2 linked regions of the Rhinolophus ferrumequinum genome follow. The protein of the gene in region 1 interacts with the protein of each later gene in a pairwise test. Links are inferred from orthologs where the notes say so. Each region holds a gene or a part of one and is shown in the gene's direction. Other genes may lie near its edges.

Region 1 (10,462 bases):
ACTTTATATTAATTGATAACTAATGGATATTTGAGACTACCGAAAAAACAAACAAAAATAAAATAGCACAAATAATAAAAGAACTAAAAGATCCAGTGCAAAAACACTGGGTAATACTTTGGTTACTAGTATGACAGCTTTTCCATGACCAGAAAAATAAAATAAAATAAAATCAGCACTTTTTTCCTAGTTTTTAAAACTAGAAATATTGTAAGCCAATCTTTTAACTCCAAAAGGAATTTACACTTAACATATGAAGAAAAAGATGTAGACAATGAATGTACAGTTATTTTCCCAAACTTTTTATCAAGAAAAAATTCAAACATATGGAAAAGTTGAAAGAATAGTAAAATGAATAACTGCAGACTTTATCCCTAAATTCTGTAACTGTTGAGTTCTTGCCAAATTTTTTTTCTCTTGCTTTAACCTTCAGAAAAACTGCACTTTTTAATTGCAGTTGCAGACATCATTTGAAGTTGCATGCTGCACCATGAGTCTTCTAAGAATAACATCCTCATACACAACTACTATATTCTCACATCAAAAAAAAAATTAGCCATAATTCCATTTTACTTAATATCCAGTCCACATTAAAACTGCCCAAGGATGTCTTTTATAATTGTTGTGGGTTTTTCGTTTTTTGTTTTTTTTTTCTTGACCAGGAGCCAATAAAGATTTGCATATTGCATTTTCATTATATGTCTTTGTTTTTAGGGAATAGTCCTCCCACTTCCCACCCTCCCACCCGCCACCTCTCATAACACTGATTTTTTAAAGGTCCCCGGCCAGTTGTCTTGTGGAATGTCCCAACCTTCTGTATTTATGTCACTTGTCATCTAGGCCTAGACTTGCCATCCTAGAATTCGTGGAGGTATCTGTAATATTTACTTGCCTTCTAGCCCCAACATTCTGTATTTATGTCATTTGACTTGTTCGTCTAGGCCTAGACTTGCCATTCTAGAATCCACAGAGGTAATCTGGAATATTTACTTGCCTTCTAGCCCCTTTGCCATCCCCAGAGTTCACCTGCCTTCAACCATAAATAGCAAGAGATCACAGATTAGCTGAACTCAAGCTTTAACCCTTGAAAGAAATTGTTAGCTTCAAGGAAGAAAACTTATTTAAATGAGACTGCCAAAGCAAAAGCTTTTAAGATAAAAGGAAAGGTGTCTCAGTTTAATGTTGATTTCCTAGCAAGTCTAGGGCGTGTAGCAAGGTGGGTCAATGCAAGAGCAGTGAGGGGCTAAGGACAGCTCTTGTTATGGGCATATGCAGGAAGGAACATCAAAGGTGCTGCCTTTAACTATTTTCTTTTGTCTACCAAATGCCTTTCAGCTTCTGTTGAGCTAAATGCTAAACTGAAAGAATAAAAAAGTGTATTATCCCAACTTTTCTCAGACTTTCGAATGGGTTAAAGGGACTGGGATGGGAGCAATGTGTGGCTAACTTCACTGAGACCCATTATTACGACCTGAGCTTCAGGCAGTATCTGATTTTGCCCCAAAATACTGTCCTCGTTTTTCAAGAGCATCACCTCCTTAAGTGGACTTGGAAAGCTCTGACAGAAAGGCCCTTTGCTTGAACTATTTCAAGGACAAATAATGAATATATTCTATTGGTGAGAAAATCCCAAATTAATCAGTCTACATTAATACGTAGGAGTGTGCCATACCTGTGCACAAGGTGTAAACAGGTCTAGAAGGGGCATCAATACGCAGAAGAACATGCTATGCTGGTATTTGTAGCCACACTTCCAGGATGGCTTATAGGGCCCAATACCTCTCTAGAAATACAGACTTAAATAAACAAAAGTTAGACCCCTGCAGAGGTGGTGTTACTCTGCAGGCTAGCTGTTTTTAAAAACATGATTGGCCAGATAAGATGCTTATCAGCCTGGTGCCTCAAATCCTCAGTTTATTTGAATGCCTTGTGAATGGGTAATCTCCTACAAGTTTTGGGGCTTTAACAAGGTAAACAAGTAGGTGGGCTGTGAAAGTAAACACTGCATTTCCTCCTAGGCTCATCCTTGGCTCCAAAATTCCGTTCCCCTCACTCCTTTCATGAGCCCCAGCCTTCCCCTTCCCAAGCTTGGTCTCTTGTACCTTGTAAAAGTACTAAAATTGCAAAGGAGACATTTTTAATTATAACTACTACAGTAATGAATTCAAGTACACTCGTTTGTCATAAAGGGCTTTCCCATCTGTCTCTAAAGTATACTTAAAAAGGCTGTGTATTTGATAACATTAGCACCAAGCAGCTTCTACATGTTAATGTTCAGTGTTTTAGATGTTCGCTCCCCCATCCTCAAAGACAGCATGGTGGCAGTTCCAGAAAGCACATTTATCGCTGTGTTTGGGAGTGTCTGTGTGGTCTCTTCCTAATTTATTTGCACTCCAATCCTCAGGGATAGCTTCGCAATCCCTGTAGGCTAAGAGAGATTAGAGATCGGGGTTGTCTGCTTCTCCCCACCCTCACAGAAAAGGGAAAACAACTTCCCCAAGTCCCACAAGTTCTTCTGGCCACTGTACAAATTGTTCTTGAACATGGAGGGTTTCCAAAAGCCCTAATTAGCAACTCACAGCAAACATTTCTTTGCATTAGCTAATGATCCGGCTACACTTGTAAGCAAACAGAACCAACATATCTAATCAATGCTGAAAAACCAACCAAATGCCTATTAAACATCTGGATGTAATTTTCTAGTTAGAACAAAATGAAAACATATGCAGGTCCCTTTGATCTGCGTCTTAACAACAACAAAAAAAATGTTGATAAAAAAGCATACTGGTCAGTCAATGTGTCATTTTCATAAAGTCTGCTCGTTTCTCTTCAAATGCTCCCAGTTTAATTTAGTTGGTTTCCTGCAATCTCTAATTTTACCATATTGTGTGAAACCACAAGAGATTCTTTGGATGTGATTTTATTTGAGGTTTTACTGCTGCATGGATCTGCTACTGATTTTTTTCTTCTTCTCTGCTTTCTCCCCTCCATCCCCCATGCCCACTCTGTCCTTTTCTTTGGTAAAAGGGTGTGTGTGGGGGGGAGTTATAATGCAATGTTAGGAAAATTTCTTCTGGACTCTACAGTCTTAGGTTTAAGAAACTCCCAATTTAAAAAAATAAGTCTAATGAGGAAATGTATACCCAATAATTCACAGTTAAAAGGAAGAGAAAATTACAAAACTGATCTTTTAAAAATTGACATATTATTTCAAATAAAAAAGTAATAGATTTAAAAGAAGATGCATAATTTCTATGACCAGCAGATTTTCCTACTGTATCTAGTACTTATACTATATGTAACATCTAGTTTTTGTAGTTGGCTTATGCTATTGGTGAGCTGCAAATTTGATAATCATCAACAAATGGATGAAAATATACCCATATATGCATCAGTGATAAAACAAACAATCTAACAATCTTTTTGTTTCTTTTGCAGAGGATAAAAAAGGAACTTTTTTTCAGAGACGATTTCCTACAGAAGTGGAATACTTAATACTATTTCATGTAAAAATAACATATGAATATGTTAAAGAAGATTATGTTTAATAGACTTTAAATAGAAGACCAAAATTATAGATGTTATGAGTAGGACCATTTTCTTTTAAACAGGCTGTAGGCAATCTACACATATATTATTTATTTAAAACATAAGATTAAAGCTACTTGATTGTTTAAACACCATAATTTGTAATGCAGTTTGATGAGTTTTGTAGTATAATTATTACAGCATGACAATCACAGAGAAAATATGACCTTGAAAAGAGACCCAGCCTTCTCCCTCTCTCAAGGAGGATGCGCTGCCCTAGAAACAAGTCATTGAAAACCCACCATCTTTATGCACACAATTAAGGGCCTTCCAATTTTGAAATCATCACCCTTTCTATTCTTCAGTTATAACATTATAAGGAAATCAGAGGCCTGGTGTTTCAAACTCTACTGGTAAGGAAGCACTAGTTAAAAGAGAGTTTCCAATTTTACCCATGGCAAACTGGGAAATATAGTGAGTAACAGCAAACATGTTTGCCATAAACAGCTATATTAGAGAAGATTTGAAGACAATGTTTTGAAGGGGATGGAAAGGTGATAGTAGAGAAGAAGTAGCAACATTTTCGTCCTATCTCAAAATATACCACTTTAATTTTCTCTGTTTAAATTTAATTACCAGCCTGTGCCAGTAAATCAAAGCAAAACGGGTAAGTGAGAGAGAAGTCTCAGTGGCCCCAGTTGTCCCAGCACGCACTGGCATATTTGTGACATCCAAACACTTTCTACACAGTCCTGCAGCTGATTATGGGGTGAACTGACCACAGATTAGCACATGTAGCCCAAACACTAGATGAAGATTTCAAGGCAGACTGGCTGCCAAAGGACAAAGCTTAGTTGCCCAGGGATCATATGATGTTAAGAAGTCCTGTGTGTGGAGCAAGCCTGCTCTGGTCATCACCAAATTTAACCAAGAAAAGAGGGGCGGTACTTCTTCCTTTCCATTCTCCATTTTAGCAAAATGAATATGACCCCCTTCCTAACTCTACTTAATTTGGTAAGAACACTGCAAAGCCACAATGCCCAACTTGATTAAGAATTTACAATGGACTTGTACAGCTGGCTAAAATAACTCCTTTAATTTTTCATTTATAATTGATGTTTGGGATTGATGCAGTTATAGACAAAACCATATCATACATATTTAAAAACAACTGCAACAGTGACATGTATTATCCAAAATGATTCTTTTAATATTTCAAGGAAAAGATCTCTGTAAAATAAAATGTATTTCTGCTTAAATTGTTTTCCGTAAGTCTCTTGAAAGTAAAATAATGGGACCGTGGGGTTATTAGTACTAAAAACTTGGTAAGTACATTCCAAGGTAACATGAATGCTTGTCAAAGATGTCTCTTACTCATGGAAGAATTCACCACCATTTGTCCAAAATAGCATTAGTCACTCACCAATCATGTGGAAATAGCTCCACTGAACTGTTCTTTAAACAAAAGTATAAATGCGGCAATATTGAAGGTTTTCTGCTGCGCAGTATATTTAGAGAAACAGACAAAAACCAGATATTTATACGGTATGCCCCATTTATTGAAAATCTCAAAATCCCTTTTATTTAAGTCAAGTTCCAAATCCATCTCATAATTTTAGCCATCTTATTTACCCAGCGCTTCTTATTTAGTTCCTTACAGGGCTCAGCCCTGGATACCACCCAAACTATGGGTGTGGGGTGGGCAGGACATGTTTTTTAGGTCTCAATGCTGGTTTATCCTATTGTCTCCCTTTGTTTCCAGGAATTGGAAACAGACTCGCGGTCATGTTAATGGGAGGCTCCTAAAACTCTCAGCAGTCCCTTACTCCCCAACACGGAGAAGTCGGAACTTTTAAGACAAGGACCCTAGATTTCGAGCCCCGGGGCAAAGCATCCCATCTGCGACTGGGACGCGCGTGCCTTACACTGGCAGCACCTCGGGTATACTTCCCGCTAAACGAGAGCAGGCCGACCTTTTCGCAAAGTGGTTTCAAATCCTCCAATAAAAACCAAATCCTATCACCTTGGGTGCAAAGGGGGCGTGGGCATTAAAAGCCTCGTCTTATGCGGCTGGTATACATACGCCAGCTAAATGCGTTGCCCACTTATTTTCCATCAAGTGCACAGTCCACTCCCCGTGCACCCGCGTAAAGGCAGCCCAAAGAAAAACAAACCAGAGAAATTTTTGAATGTGACCTCACTTTGAAAAGAGTAGCATCAAACAAGGGGATAGCACCAAAACATGCATTTGGCTCCAACTACCAAAAAGCCCCCTCTCCCATAAGAAACTACGCGGTTAGTCGCTGAGTTACTTTCACTGAAATCTCAGAATTTTCATTTAAGGGAACAGTGAAAAAGTGAACAGTGGCAGGAATTTTGCAAACTCGAGCCCCCAGTTTCCGTGGCTGCACACTTGCAGGTCCCTCTCGCTCTCGCGTTCCCGCGCGCTCCCTCCCAGGCCCCACGTTACTTTGATTGACAGCCGGGCCCCGCCGCTCTCCTTCCCACCGACCTTCCCATCCACAGTGCCAATCTCCGCGTCTCGCAGCTTCCCATTGGCTGGCTTCAGCGTCCCGCGGCTCCTCCAGGAACAGTTCCTCACCGAGCCCGGGAGGACGCGGCTGGCTGAGGAGGGGTGGGAGGGACCGGAGGGGAGCCGGTGGAAACAGCAGAGATGGAAGCAAGTGGAGTGGGAGGGGGGGGAATAGGAGGGAGGCGGCCCGTCCAGTGCTGCGCCGCCATAGGCTGCGGGGAGGGTTGCGTCAGCACCCCACGTTGGGCATCGCGCATGCGATTGGCTGACGCTGGACTCCGGCTCCCCCTCCCAGCCGTCCGGGCCCACGTCGCCCGCCGGCTGGGTGCTCTCGTTCCCCGCCCGCCCAGGGCTGGGCGGGGCCCGCGCTGGTTAGCTCCGGAGTGTGAAACCGCGTGTTAATGTAACCGGCGCGAGAGGCGCGGGCGGCGGCGGCAGTGGTAGGAACGGCGACTGCAGGAGCCGCAGCAGCGTCGGCGGGTTCTCTGTGCCCCGCGTCCCCGAGGCAGCCGACTGCACCACCCCCACCTTTTCACGGCCGGGCGGGACCCGCGCCACCAACCCGGACCTTCGCCGGCCCGCGGCGACTTAATCCCGGTGGGCTGCGGCTGCCCCGAGTACTCCAGACTCTCCCGCGGAGTTTGCCGGCCGGGAAGGGAGGCCGAGCGGCGACGCGCACTCCTGTTCTTCTTGCCACCATCTCGTGGATGTCGTACCCCGGGTCGTGAGAGAACTTTGCAGCGGGCTGGAGCGCCTTTTACGTAGAGGCATACGAAGGGAAGGAAAGAAAGAGGACCCAGGAAGGGTCCGAAGCGGCCGGACGGGTTGTGTGGGGCGAGTGCTCACCGGGCGCGGCTCCCGGATGCGCCCTGGCCTCAAGGAGCTGTGGGCGACCGCGGGACTGCCCTTCGTGGAGTAGCCCCGTCGGGCCTGGAGGGTTTGTGCAACCGCGGAGAACACCGAGTGCCGGTCGTACGGGGTGTGCGGGGCAGCCTCCCGGCGCGCCCTCCGCACTTTCCCAGCCTCGCTGTCATTCCGCGCTTCTCAGCCAGGGTTGAGTCTGCGGGGCGCCGGGCGCGGAGCCTACACCGCGGCTGGGACCTCGCTCCCCGCCGCTTTCTAGGGGCCCGCGAGTGCCCGGCAAAGGTGCTGCCTGGACCCGCGAAGGTGGGCTCCGAAACGTCACTAGGTTGGTTTGTGTGGGGTTAGCCGGCAGCCACCTGCACCTCGCCCGCTGCCGGCGCCGCGGGGAAAACCCGGAGAGGAGGCAGACCGGGAGAAGAGCAAAGGAAGACAGCCCGTCTGGATTTGTTTGCCCGGACGGTTGCCGCGCACACTGATCGCCTACAGGAGCGCGCCGGAGTCACCGTTCCCCCACCTCCTCGCCCAGGCGGCTAAGGCCTGCGGGTTGGAGAACAGCGCGGTGTCGCGGAGGTTCTTCGAGCAGCTGGGCCCGGGGTGCCCCACGATGTGGCCCTGAACGCGGGAGCCCACACTGGCGGGAGCAGGAGCAGCCGGGCGCGGAGTGGCCCGTGCGCCCCGCCGAGCGCGCCTGCGTGCGTGGCCAGCGGGCCCCCTGCGCGTCGCGTTTCTGCCGGGCTTACTGGCTTAATTTTTCTCGGCGGGATTAAAGTTGGAAATTGAGCGGAGAATTGAGTTGCCGGGGAACAGAGCCGCGGCGGCAGCCAGAGCGATGTTCCCGCAGAGCCGGCACCCGGTGAGGCGCGGCTGGCCGGGGAGACGGGGGTGGTGGTGGGGGGAGCGGGGGGCGGGGGGCGGGAGGCACTCTCCGTGCTGTGGGGAGGCGGGTGGCTGCTACATTCTGACGGACCCCCTCGTCTCCGGGTCTGCAAGATTGGGAGGTCCCGGGCCCTGCTCTCTTGAGGTGGGTAGTGGGCTGAAACTCCCAATTCCCCCCACCCCGTTTCTTCTGGGTCACCTCCTGCTTGACGTCTAGACAGGGTGACGGGGGCACCGGGAGAGGCCGGGGTTTCGCTCCCGCAACCACATCCTCCTCCTCCCCCGGGGAGGGGAGGGCGCCCCCCCGCTTTGTTTCTGGTCTCGCCTATTTGCATGTCAATGCGGCCCCCGTTCCGGCGCGCTTAAGTTGGCCTTGGCGACTCTGGGAACGGGGAGCGTTAGGGATTTGTTTTTCTTTTCTAGTCCCCGGGGTCTTTATCGCCCCCGTGGGGGAGGGCGCGGCGATGACGACAGTCTGGCCTGGTCCACCCTGGCCGCCGGGGAGCCCCTTTTCCTCCAGTCTGGTGACCCGGGAAAGGCTGGAGGGGGCTTAGAGCCTCTAGAAGCCGGGGGTCGGCGGAGTGTCCACTTTCCCTCTCCCCAAAGTGAAGCGCAAACTCGCGTTCGGGACTCCGTTATCCGCCATTTCTAACTTTATTTTTTGTTTGTGTTCCACCCACCTCTCTGTCCTCTAACTGCTTTATCCACCCGCCCGCATCTCCGTCCCACGGTCCCCCTCGCTGGTCGTCCCCCAGACGCCGCACCAGGCTGCAGGCCAGCCCTTCAAATTCACTATTCCGGAGTCTCTGGACCGCATTAAAGAGGAATTCCAGTTCCTGCAGGCGCAGTATCACAGGTGCGTGTCGGCCCGCGGGGGGCGACTGGTTGCCCGGGCAGTCCCGTGCCCCACGTCGCCCAGCCCCTGGGTGGCGGCGGCGGCGGCTGTACTTAGCATTTGTGTCCAGGCGGTGGCGTGTGGAGTCGCAGTTAAAACCTGTCATTCACGTTACCCCCTTTCCTGGCTCTTCCCGGGCCGCCTCTTCTCTTGTCTCCTCCTCCTCCCATTGTTTCCCTTCTGCCGGTTTGCTGCTGTTCCAGGGAGTCTATTTTCGTGTGTTTAGGAGTTAAATGAGAACTGTCAGTATTTGCACTTCATTTATTTGTTTTGCAACAAACAGGCTGAGCTAAAACCTTGGTTCAGTCGATGCCCCAGCCCTGGAGTGTCGGTTCAGGGAGGCAAAGCCAGTGTTGAAATCGCTGTTTGCTATGGTAGAGAATTGGGCTGAGGCAAAGTCCATTATGGAACGCTAGATGCTTTTAAGCTGTGCCCATCATTGGTGATCACGAGGGGGGTGGGTGTGTCAGGGAAAGCTAACCTGCTTTGGCGTCATTTCTGGGTAGATTTGGGTAGAACAAGGGATTGGAGTCACATTTGTATCCCTCTCAGCTTTAGTCTCTTCATCTAACGATACCTACTTCAAAAGATTTGTAAATAAAAACTATTTGTAAAGCACCACATCCATAGTGGACTTTCCAGAAATGTTAGTTTCTCGTTCCTATGAAGTCTTAGCTGATTAGAGCTAAGAAATAGCTGTAACGACAGTTTTTATTTTTGTCTTGCTTGAGAAAAAACACAGATGCTGGGGTGTGAATTTTCTTATTTTGTCAGAGGCTTTCTGATTATTGACCTTTTGTCTGCTTGAAGATAATAATCTCTAGAGCTTGAGGCATCCCTACCCACACACTGTTTACCAAGCAGGGAGGACTTCAGCCCACTTCACTGCAGTAGCTGCTTGACATATTTTGGCAGGGATTTGGAAATCAAAGGTTTTAAAAGGGACCAACAATTGTAGAGGTAACTTTACAGGTACAGTGTTTCAAACCTAGAGACTTTGAATTGGCAAAGGTAGTGCAGCTTTTGCCTGAGACTGAGGATTGTGCAAAGGCCAGATTTTGGTGGAGTCCGGAGAAGCACACTTTGATTCAGGGAAATAGGCGTGAACAGATGACCACCAGGAGGAATCAGTCTTCTGGGTAGATTAGAGGTTTTGACAGCTTTTGTTAATAATTCTTGGCATCTGACCAGGTATGCGCCAAGAAGAAAAAGAATAGTAGCTGAATGGATACCCTGTAATGTTCACCTTATTTCTTTCCCCTGTTAAATGCAGGGACAAAGCTTTTGGGTGTTTACCTAGATAGTTTATGGCTTTTCCAAATTGGTCTGTTTTTACTTGAAGTGTAAATATGTGAGGCAGATGTTAAAACAAGTGACATAATGTTTACATTAAGTTGCCTGTTTTGTTTTTGTAGCCTTAAATTGGAATGTGAGAAACTGGCAAGTGAAAAGACAGAAATGCAGAGGCACTATGTGATGGTAGGTATCAATTAGATTTTTTTCCTTTTCGTGTAATATGAGCAAATACATGTTCTTAGCATCATAAAACATGAATTAATGAAATGATTGGTTCTTTTTTTCTTCTCACAGTATTATGAAATGTCATATGGATTAAACATAGAAATGCATAAACAGGTAAGCATTAGTTAAATCTTAAGCCGTAATGAGAAATTAGTTATGATTTTCTCAATAGTGGCTTTGTCTTCTTGTGGGGGGTTTGTGTGCTATTTTTCTGCCTTGGTTTCCCTTCTTGCAAATTGTTGGTA
Region 2 (10,484 bases), on another chromosome or scaffold:
CCACTGGCCTCCCGTGGGGTGTCCCGAGGCTGTGACCACATGCGACTCGGAGCTGAGGGCACCCACCTCCTGGAACCTTTCCAGGGTGTGTTTGTACAGATCAAATTCCGTCCTCTCTCGGGGGCTGCTTTTTATCTAAATTATTATCTAGTCAAACTAGATGTTTTTTACCAAGTGGAGATCACAGCCTCTCCTACTTTTCTTTCAAAATGTTTTCGCATTAAATGGTGTGAAGTGTATGTAGTTTGGCAAACCAGCAGCTTCTGCTTCACGTACTGTGGTGGCAACAGATTCTACGTGACGTAGCTTTCGTTTGGGGTGAACAAAGTTGAAATGCTCGCTCTGCATTAACAAAGCCTAGTGGTTTCAGATTCATACATGGCCAAACCCTCCTGTGTGTTTCCAGATCATTCTGGGACCCTTTTCCAGACCATGACCCATTTGTATGTTGTCCGTCATCTCCTTATGGTGACTGCCCTCTGCAAACCAGGCTTTGATCACTGCATTTGGGACCCATTCGTGTTTGTTCTTCATCTGACACCTCCCAGACATGAGCTCTGGCCCTGGCAGAGAGCTGCCGCTGACACCGCGGGCCCCCAGTGACCCGTCGTGCATTTCCCGGGGTGCTGTGCACTCACCTCTGCCCTATGGGCTACGACGTGGGCCCTCGACCTCTGTGTGCCTCACCTCGCTTGGTGTACCTTCCGGTCTCTGAGGTAATGTGCCCTAGTGTCACGGGTACTTTCAGGCCATTGGGTGGGTGAGGCCAGTCTGCCCAACTTTTTGCCAAATCTCATGCTGCATCATATATCCCAAAGATTGTTTGGAATTTTCTTGGTCCCTGGAGTGAATGAAAAGATCCCACTGATGAAAGAATTGACTTAGAATTGGACTGAGTCTGTAGAGACCAAAAGGAAGCAGGTTTTCTCTTGTCTTCTGCTGGAGAAGTGGCTGCTACAACAGGTGACGTCTGCTTGTCATCCAGCCGGTTTCCATAGTGACACCATCTTATGCCTGAATAGTAATTCTATTTTTTTATAAACTCAAACAGAAAACACTGTTTAAATTTTTTTGAATTTACAAAGTAGCATCACCTTCAGATTTGGCGTGTGTGGAAACTAGATGCTGCAAACTGCTTCCTGACTCTGATCTCGTCGTTAAGGGATTAAACGAGAGTCAAGGTTACGTTTCTGCTCCCTGAACATAAACTGCAGAAACGTTCTCCGCTGTTATGAATGTTCACCGTCAGCATTATTTCATTATTTTATGTATTCTCATTGATTAACTGTGTATCTTCAACGTGCTGAGAAGGTGACAGTAGGAGCATTTTGTGAAATTGTTTACACGGTGCCACGCATTGAGTCATATGTTTTCTTTAGAATGTGTGCTTACACGGGTATTATAAAAACCTTCTCGATTTTAAACTGAGCCTTCTTTTTAATATATTCCTTAAAAAGGTCTGTAAATAAGCTCTCCGAGTCTGTGTAATGACTTGCCGGACAAGTGGTTTGTTCGTGAGCAAACCAAGCTTTCTCCACCCAGTGCAATATGTTTGTTTGACTGCTTGTGTCTTTTTATGACTTTTTTGCCTTTTAGAAAATTGGTAAATAAAGCAAGTATATTTTTATTTGTATGTATTTTCAATGTAACACAGAAGAAAACTGGAATAGAAGTCAAAGATTATCAAAAGATTTTTTAAAAACAAAAAACTGGAAATTCTGCTTTAGGGACTTTCTATCACAAAGGTCTCTCATCTCTTCCCTCGCACAGCACGCTTCTCGCTGGTCCCTTCCTGCCTGAGTGTGTCTCTCTGACGTACTTTGGACCTATGAGCTGGGGCTGGAGCTGCCGCAGCTCTAGCCCAGTGAACTTTCTGGGATATAAATATAGTCTTGTAATCCAGTTCTCCCACTTGTTTTCACTTACACATGGGGTGGGGTGAGGGTATTTGGCTCCGCCCCTGGAGCTCCTTTTCACCGCTGTGGTGACCTCAGTCACCTCCTGTCCCTTAGTGCCCCGCCCATGGTTGTCTGTTCCTCCTGGGCTGGCTGCTTACGTGCTGGCCATGGCCTGAAAGCAGAGACAGCAGGGCCACGAAGACCTCATATATCTGTCAGAGATGGTACAGGCAGCACAGCGCGGTCTCGCCCCACCCCAGCCGTCCAGTGCTTCCTTCCACAGTGATGAAGCCATGTGGGGCCTGGTCAAAACCGTGGAAGACCGTGGGGGTCAGAGCGGGGAGATGAATGGACACTGGACCCTGTGCCCCACCTTCGAGAAGCTCCCTAAACAGGAGGGACGGCTTGACTCTCCCTCCTGGCCTGGCTGCCTAACACCAAGTGATGATGGGGGAGTGGGGACAAAAGGCAGCGTCTCCCAGTGGGCAGAGACCTCTGCAAGCTGGCCCTAAGTGGCCAGATGTGGCTCTGTTGCCCTGGACTTCTGAGTGCCCGTGGGGATTCTTAATCGCACTTACCACAGAAGCCCAGAGGCACATCCCACCCCCCTTATTTACAGGAGCTTTTTAGAGCCTCCTGGGCTGACCCACAGGCGCCTACACACCCACAGGCTGCCCACTGTCTTTGTTCCCTAGAGATTTACAGCCTGCCACCCCTGCCGCTATCTGGTCCCCCTGTAGCCACCAGAGCCCTGCCCAGGCTCTGCTCTCCTCTCTTCCTGGATCTGAGGGGATCAAAGGGCCCAAATGCTCAGGAAGTTCTATGCTCAGGCAACCTTTGAAGGTGGGATGGCTCCAAGGGACAAATGGCAGGAAGTGGGTCTGCTCGGGGAGGCCACGTGAAGGAGGGAGTGAGAGCTTGGTGGCCCCAACATGGAGCAGCCAGGCTTCTGGGAGGAAAAGGCCAAGCCAGCCAGTCAGCCAGTGGGCCCACTAAGGGAAACTGAGGCTGATTTCAAAGGTGGGACCTCAGGCAACACCCAATCAAGACACATACCCCACTCTATCCTGCTTTTTTCCCCAAGGGCACTTGCTCACACTGGGACAGAAGCCAGCACTTCAGTTCTCTTTCCCTCAATGTAGACAGCCCTCCTCAATCCCCCTGCCCCACGTAGGACAGGTGTGGGAGGTTCCTGGCCCTCCCTTCATCTCCTCCCTTCTCCTGACAACTGGCACCTGTCCTTTGCGTTCTACAGTCAACCTCATACCATGTCCCGTAACCGTAATTAAGCCTTCTTTGCTTTCTCTCTAGATGATTCTAAATGTGGAAACCTATGAACAGTGCTGTGATTGTGAAAGAATTGGCTACTGAGCTAAATAAGGTGCTAAGATTACATTTCTCTTCTTGGGCAGCTTGTTGTTTTTCCTAAGTTCCAAGCTGCCTTTCAGGTTTTTTGTTGCACCATTTGCCTTTATCATGTCTTCCTCCATGCGTCACATTCAGGACCCCATCCAATCAGGTGTTCTAGCAATTTTGTTTTCTAGTCATCTTTTCCCCAAGCTCCCCACCTGCTCCAGGGGACCTGACCATCCTGTCCCAGTGAACTGCCTTTCATAGAGAGCATTCTATAATACCTGTTTGGCCTCCTTCACACAATATAACAGGCAATGAGGGGTATGAATCAGAGTATGAGAGATCACTGAGTATTTTTCCATACCTCGATTTCTCAAAGTAGTAGAAACTTAACTGTAGTTACTTGTGTGTTGGGGGTGGGGAGGTGCCTCCTTCCCTGAGGCGATGTCTAAACAGCAAAGAAGAATAAAGTTCCAGGCCAGCTTGGGGTCCGTCACTCAACTGCCTGCACTGTCAATCCCACCGGGAGGAGCAGGGAGAACAGACAGTGGGTCTGAGCCACCCAGGAGCGGAGGAGGAAGAGAGCTGAGTTTTCTGGCTTGTGGGGGAGCTTGAGAACAACAGGGGCGATTGAAGGAAAGCAGTGGGTTCAACACCCAGCTGAGGGAGTTTCAGGGGGCTCCTCACAGAGAAGCAACCAAGCAGCAGGCAGCAGAGAGGCAGGTGAGAATCAGCAGGAAGGGCTCCCAGGTAGTTACACAGGTCAGTGAGGTGACTTTGGGGACCTTCAAACCTCTCCCTAAACTTGTCCTGCCTGTGGAGATCCCTCTGGTGGGGAGCCCAAAGGGAAATAGCCACTGGAGGGCCGCCAGGTCCATCTTCCAGTGGCTGGGGGTGGGTGATAACATCTGTGGCCTAGTCCTACCAACTGCACCATACTGCAGTCCCTGGATGTCTCCTTCCCTGCTACCTGCCACACAGGCTTGGGACACCCTCTGACCTGCCCTACCCACCCACTGTATCTGTGAGACCAGGCAGATAGGGGGTCCTAGATCAGACTGTCTCTTGACCAGGGATGCTCATAGCCTGGGGGGTGCAGACCAGACCCTGACTATCCTAATCCTGGGTGAGTGGGGGGTCTAGGAAAGGTGCAGGTGCTCTCCCACCAGGTAGATGAATAAGGAAGCTGAGACCTGAACAGTGAGGAAATAGCCATGGTGGGTAAAGGGGGGTTGGAGAGTGTTCCAAGCGGAAGACCAAGGTCAGAGGCATCTTGGCATTGCGGCTCTGCCTGGAGGCACGGATGTAGTAGGCCGGTGGAGAAGGGGCCAGGCCTCGGTCCCCAGGGCGCTGCCCAAGGGCGCGGCCCCATCACTCACGCACCCCACCCGCCGGGATGCCGGGCCGGCAGATGGGCAGCCCGCGGTGGGGGTGGCGGTCGTCTGGCGGACACAGGCGCGCCCGCCGCCCGCCCGCGGGACAAAGCCAGCAGAGACAAAGGCGCGGCCAACACCTGTCGCTCTTGGCGGGGCCGCCGCTTTTCTCCGCCGAAGCGGCTGCAGCTGCCAACTGTCACGGGCATCAAGTTACGAGGTCCAGACGGCGGCCTCCGCGAGCCTGGCGGGTGGAGGGCTGGGCGGGGGGAAAGGGTACCGAAGGGGGACCCGGCGGGGGGACTGGGGGAAGGGGGGCCGGGGCGAACCAACTGGGGTGAGGACCAAAGAAGGGTGGGCGGTAGCGGGGAACCAGGGAAAGGCGGGGTCGGGGGGCGGGGAAGGCGACCCCGAAGGGTTGCATCGGGCAGAGGGGGGAAAGGGGGGACCGAAGGAGCGAAGGGTATTAGGGGGAGATGGGGGACTCCGGGGGTGACGGGGATGATGACCACAGGAAAGAACCGACGGCAGGGGACGAAGGAAAGACGGGCGGGAGTCAGGGAATGACCAGAGGAGAGCCTGCAGGAGCAACGGTGCCAGCGAGCCCGCGAACCCTGCCCCACTAGCACCCCCGTGCAGGCGGAGGGCGGCCGGTATCCAGACACAGAAATTCGCAAGAAACGCAAGGGGGCCATGGGCCTGCTCCCACACCCGTTGCCCCATGAGTCCTCACTTCCGCAGGGCTCTGCAGCCACCCCAGTCCAGACTCGTAGTCCCCCAGGTCTGGAGACAGCGGATTCGACTGCCTCTGCCCCCCCACCCCCCAGAACCCAGCACGCCGGCACACGGTGCTCCTCTCGCGAGGCACCTTCGAAGAACGAAGCCAAGTGTGAATGAGTGAATGACTAGATGAAGGAAGTAATGGATGAGCTCCTGCTCACACGCACAGCTGACCTGGGGGCCTTGTTCAGGGAATGGAGGGAAACAAACGCACCCCGAGCCGCAGCTCCCCCGGCTCACCGCCCCCTCGGGTGCCTTCCCCGCGGGGGTCGCGCGGAGGCCAAGCCGGGAGCCACGCCCGTCGGCCACGCCCCTCCAGCTGCCGGAGGACCCCGGCGGCGGGACTGGACAAAGCGCGCCGCTCCTGTTGGCTGCAGCGCGCCTCCCCGCCAGTAGCTCCAGGCCTGCGCGGCCAATCGGCGCATTGAGATGCAAATAAGGCACTATAAAAGGGGCGGGGCCGCAAGGAGCGGAAGACGCGACAGAGTGAGGGCGGTGGCTGGCAGGGCGGCGGCGCTGCTAGGGGCGCGGGCGCTTAGCGCGCTCGCGGCGCTCCAGGCGGTGCGGCTCATGGCTCCGCCCCTCGCGTCTGGCCGGGACCGTGCGGGCCGGGAGGATGAGGACTGCTGGGAGGCGCGGGGGGACCGCAAGGTGCAGGCCGGGGCTGCGGGCGGGCGTGCGGGGGGCCGCGCGGCGCTGGGGCTCAGTCGCCCGCTTCCCGCAGGCCCGGAAGCCCCTAGTGGAGAAGAAGCGGCGCGCGCGGATCAACGAGAGCCTGCAGGAGCTGCGGCTGCTGCTGGCGGGCCCCGAGGTGAGGCAGGCGGGCGGGTGCCCAGGAGCTGCCGAGCGGGTGGGGGTGGTCGCGGCTCTACCGGGCCTCACCGTGCATCCCTCCCTGGCGCCCCCGCCGGTGCAGGTGCAGGCCAAACTGGAGAACGCCGAGGTGCTGGAACTGACGGTGCGGCGAGTGCAGGGCGCGCTGCGGGGCCGAGCTCGCGGTGAGTGGAGGGCAGGCGAGCGGGCGGGGGCGCGGGACGCGTTTTCCCACCCCGCCCCTGCCCGAGAGTTAGGACATCCCCTCCGGGCGCCCGGGTGCTGTTCACCACCAGAGCTCTCCCCGGAGTAGCGCGCTCCCCTCCGTCTTCTGGGTAAGCCGCGTCCCCGCGGGCCAGGACACAGCAGTCCGGGCTCACAGGGCCGGGTGCGGTTCTCTCCCTCCCATCCCCGGGCGCAGGACGCGAGCAGCTGCAGGTGGAAGCGAGCGAGCGCTTCGCCGCCGGTTACATCCAGTGCATGCATGAGGTGCACACGTTTGTGTCCACATGCCAGGCCATCGATGCCACCGTCGCCGCCGAGCTCCTGAATCACTTGCTGGAGTCCATGCCGCTGCGCGAGGGCAGCAGCTTCCGGGATCTGCTGGGGGACACCCTGGCCGGGCCCCCCGGAGCCCCCAGACGAAGTGGCTGGCTCACAGGGGGTGCCCTAGGGTCCCCGTTGCCCAGTCCTCTGGGCCACGGGGACGACCTGTGCTCCGACCTGGAGGAGGCCACCGAGGCTGAACTGAGCCGCCCACCTGCTGAGGGACCAGACTTAGTGCCAGCGGCCCTGAGCAGCCTGACCGCTGCCCGCATAGCCCAAAGTGTCTGGAGGCCTTGGTGACCAACGCCAGCCCGCTCTCTGGTCCCTCCTCCCTGGGGTCCAGATGTCGTGGGGCAGGATACTGGATGTCTCCCAGGTCTGCCTGCCTTGTTCCTCCAGTGGACGGCTTGTAGGGCAGTCCTGGATCACCCAACTAGTCAGGCCCCTAGCCCTATTTCTTAAGGGAGTAACTTTTATGGACCCCACAGTCCCGGGTGGGTGGAGAGTGGACTACAGGCAGGAGGAAGAATCCTGCAGAGCTACCAGGGCCCCCATGGGTTCTCCTGTCCCAGCCTTCTCAGGCACTGTCCCTGTTAGGGGACAGAGGTGACCGGAATGGTGCTGAGCCTCTCCTCCATGCTGGGCACTGGTGTCTGGGCAGAGGGAGACCTCAGGCCCTGGCAGCGGTGGCCTGAGCAGAAGCTTGCACTTGCCACTTCAGCCAGGACATGGGAGGCAAGTGCAGCATTGCCCATAGCTGCTGGAGAGAAGTGCGGCTTTTTGTATGTCTTGCATTTAGCACACTTGAGTTTGTGTATGTATTAGGTTGCCATCGAATGTTCCAATTCTATTAAATAAAGGATTTGGGAGAGTTAGTTTCCCTTCTGGAGTATTACTGAATGGTGTGGTGTCATTAATTTGTCAACTGTGAAAATAGGAAAGGAAGCACGTTCTTCCTGTGTCTAATGCTGGGGATGTTTTTGAAAGCTCTCACCCTTTGTCAGCAAAGTGAGTAGAGTGAAGGCGGTGGAGCTGGGACACGTCTCAGTGGACAGTGCTCCCCACTCCCTGTCGCTGGGCAGTTCCAGGTGGGTTTCCCCTGCAGGCCTGGCCTGCTCTCCCCAGGATTGTGTGCAGACGAGATGGATACCACTGGCACAGGGCTTGTCCCAGAGTAACCAAGCAATAGGGAAATAGGGAAACAGCCTGCCCCCGGACCACTCTCTGGTTCATGAGTTCCTAGGAACAAACTGATGCCTGACTGCTAGCCACGTGGTTTGGAAGTTTCTTTCAAAGACCTGCATTGGGATCCATGAGCATGATGTCCGTCTACTTGTGTTAGGTTATCACTTTTCTTGACTGAAGGAGCTTCCACCACACCCAGTGACTTCAGGGTTATGGAGACCCACCCATTTCATGTCTTGAAGTGAAGGTGCCCGTGGCTGCAGGCTGCTTGGACTGGAGGTCAAACGGGCCCAAGAGGTCAGAAACCTTGGAAGAAGGGTGACAGGATGGGTCGTTGGGGTTTAGGGAGGACTGCCCTCTTGGGCGGGGTCAGGGCTGCAGCTGGCATATGGTCCATTGCCAGCAGTGACTGCCCCAGGGAGCCCAAGCTCCCCATCTGCTCCAGGACTCCAAAGCAGCTTGTTCTCACTTTGGGTTGGCAGTGCCCAGGCCTGGAGCTCGGTGTGACCATTTAGTATTGACACCTGGTTGTGTGCCTCCAAACGCATTGTCACTGCCCCAGTCCTTGCCACTTCACGGCACCCCGTTAATTAGGCGAAGAATCTAGAAGTTACCCTCGATTTCTTTATTTTCCTGTCATCCTACTCCTACTCAATCAAGTTCATTAAACTATTTCTAAATCCTCCCTCCATTTTGTCACCTTTCCCACCACCCGAGTCCATCTTTTACTTGGATTCGGGCAGCAGACCTAATTCGCCTCCGCACTTCCACGCGGAGCGCCTGACCTCCCGGCCATCTCCAGGCCCCCTCCCTCCCGCAGCTCTGCTCAAGGTTCGGACCTTTGCTTAGCGACCTGACAGCGGGTATCCGGCCAGTCTCGCTCAGCGCCGAGCGCCGGCCGGTGAGCCGTTCCTGGACCGCCCGAAGCATTGCGGCTGTCGGAGGGACTGGGGGTGCAGAGCTGCAGGCGCCGGTGGGCTGAGTTCGAGCAGCGCGCAGCGCTCGGAGGCGCTGGAGGCGCTGGAGACGTTCGGAGAGGCTCGGAGGCTTTCGGATGGTGCCCAGCGACGGAGGCGCTGGGCCACGCCCCCGCTCCGTCTCCACGCCGCCCGAGGCGAGCCACTGGGCTTCCTGGGAGATATAGTTTCCATCCTTCGACTTCCCTTTCCCCGGGGCCACTGCAGGCAGAGCTGGGACTGCGACTCCCAGAGGCCTCCCCGGCCCGGAGGCCCCTCCCTCCGCCGCCCTGAGCTCCAAGCCCCCTTCCCTATTATGCCTGTGAAGTTCAAGGGCGGCTCTGCGCCCCGCCCAGGCTGGCCCGCGGTCTCGCCAGCATCCCCAGGATCAGGCAAGGAAGCGACGTAGGCGTCGGCGCCCAGCAGTTCGGGCCCTCCATAGCTCGAGCCGCCCATTTTACGCGAGGGGAGGCGAAGCTAGAGGGCTCCTGGCCGGCCGGGCAGTCGTCTGCGCTGGTTCCTGCCCAGGGCCGCTGGGACTGGCCCACGGCTGGAGACCCGTACCACCGAGCGTGGGTCATAGGCAGCCTGCAAGTCGGGAGTATTAAAAGCTCCCAGATGGTTCGAAAGTGCATCCAAAGCCAGAGATGTCGAGGAAGGAAGGAGTCATTTCAGGCTGTGGATGGAAGCAGGTTTCTCGAGGAGGCAACGCAAGCCATTCCGAGCTTCTGGACCACGCCAGAGCCCAAGCCAAGGCTTTGCTCAGCATTCATCCTGCAGGTGCGATGAGGACGTGTTACGTGCTGGGGACACAGAGACGAGACTGATCAGACCCCTGCCGTCGTGGAACTTGCATTATCTTAAGATGAGCTGGAGAGCCACAGGCCACCGCAGACTGCCCAGAGGTAGACAAAAGCATTGCTGGGTAGCGTGTAGTCAGGAAGACCAGAGCCTATGAGATTCGTGACGTCAGTCTTTGGGTTTAAATGGATCTGGAAGGAGGAGTGGTAAGGTGGTAAGGATTATAAATTTGCTCTTACTGGAAGGCCCAGGCTTTTGGCTCTTCCAGCCTCGTGTGTAAAAAAAAAAAAAAAAAAAAAAAAAAAAAAATTGCCCTCCCTTGAAGATGGGGCACTCGGCTATCCCTCTCCTGCCCCCAATTGTCGCCATGCTGTCCATCCACTGTCAGTGGGTGGGGCTTAGGGTATTGCCTTCCTCTCCCCTCCAGATGCTGGCCCACCTCATTGGAAAATGTCGCATCTACTTTTAGACATCTGAGTCACCATGGTCTTGTCACCTCTGTCTTGTCCACTCTACCCCAGAAAACTTGCTTAGACCTCATTGAGGTCTCCTAGTTACTGTCCAAGTGTTTCCTTCACAGGCAAGTTCCTTGAAATAGTCTTCATGCTTTTTCCTCATTTCCTCACCTGCTTGCTCCTCCCAGAATTTCAGTATGGCCCTGTCTTCTGTCATTCTACTGAAAACTTCTGGTTGTCTCCAGTGAAGTCCGAATTGCCCAGATGATTCCAGTTTTCACTTTTCCTGGTTGTTGCACCATTTACACCATCAGTTACCTCCTG

The links.
Region 2: the proteins of TLE1 (region 1) and HES6 interact in binary tests that used the Homo sapiens proteins (3 or more experiments, as listed by UniProt). The link is inferred for Rhinolophus ferrumequinum from reciprocal best matches to the Homo sapiens genes TLE1 and HES6.

The regions. Positions count from the first base shown.
Region 1 is NC_046295.1:45,521,965-45,532,426, reverse strand, and holds the start of TLE1 (transducin-like enhancer protein 1), read left to right. Parts: upstream 1-6,405; 5' UTR 6,406-7,754; coding exon 7,755-7,778; intron 7,779-8,556; coding exon 8,557-8,657; intron 8,658-10,111; coding exon 10,112-10,175; intron 10,176-10,286; coding exon 10,287-10,331; intron 10,332-10,462. UniProt on the Homo sapiens protein: Transcriptional corepressor that binds to a number of transcription factors. Inhibits NF-kappa-B-regulated gene expression. Inhibits the transcriptional activation mediated by FOXA2, and by CTNNB1 and TCF family members in Wnt signaling.
Region 2 is NC_046291.1:2,245,956-2,256,439, forward strand, and holds HES6 (transcription cofactor HES-6), read left to right. Parts: upstream 1-5,889; 5' UTR 5,890-5,974; coding exon of another isoform or gene 5,975-6,020; coding exon 6,021-6,215; intron 6,216-6,320; coding exon 6,321-6,402; intron 6,403-6,638; coding exon 6,639-7,063; 3' UTR 7,064-7,378; coding exon of another isoform or gene 7,379-7,545; 3' UTR 7,546-7,658; downstream 7,659-10,484. Other genes in the region: uncharacterized protein LOC117025922, read left to right, coding at 7,379-7,545, 8,824-9,062, 9,200-9,684. UniProt on the Homo sapiens protein: Does not bind DNA itself but suppresses both HES1-mediated N box-dependent transcriptional repression and binding of HES1 to E box sequences.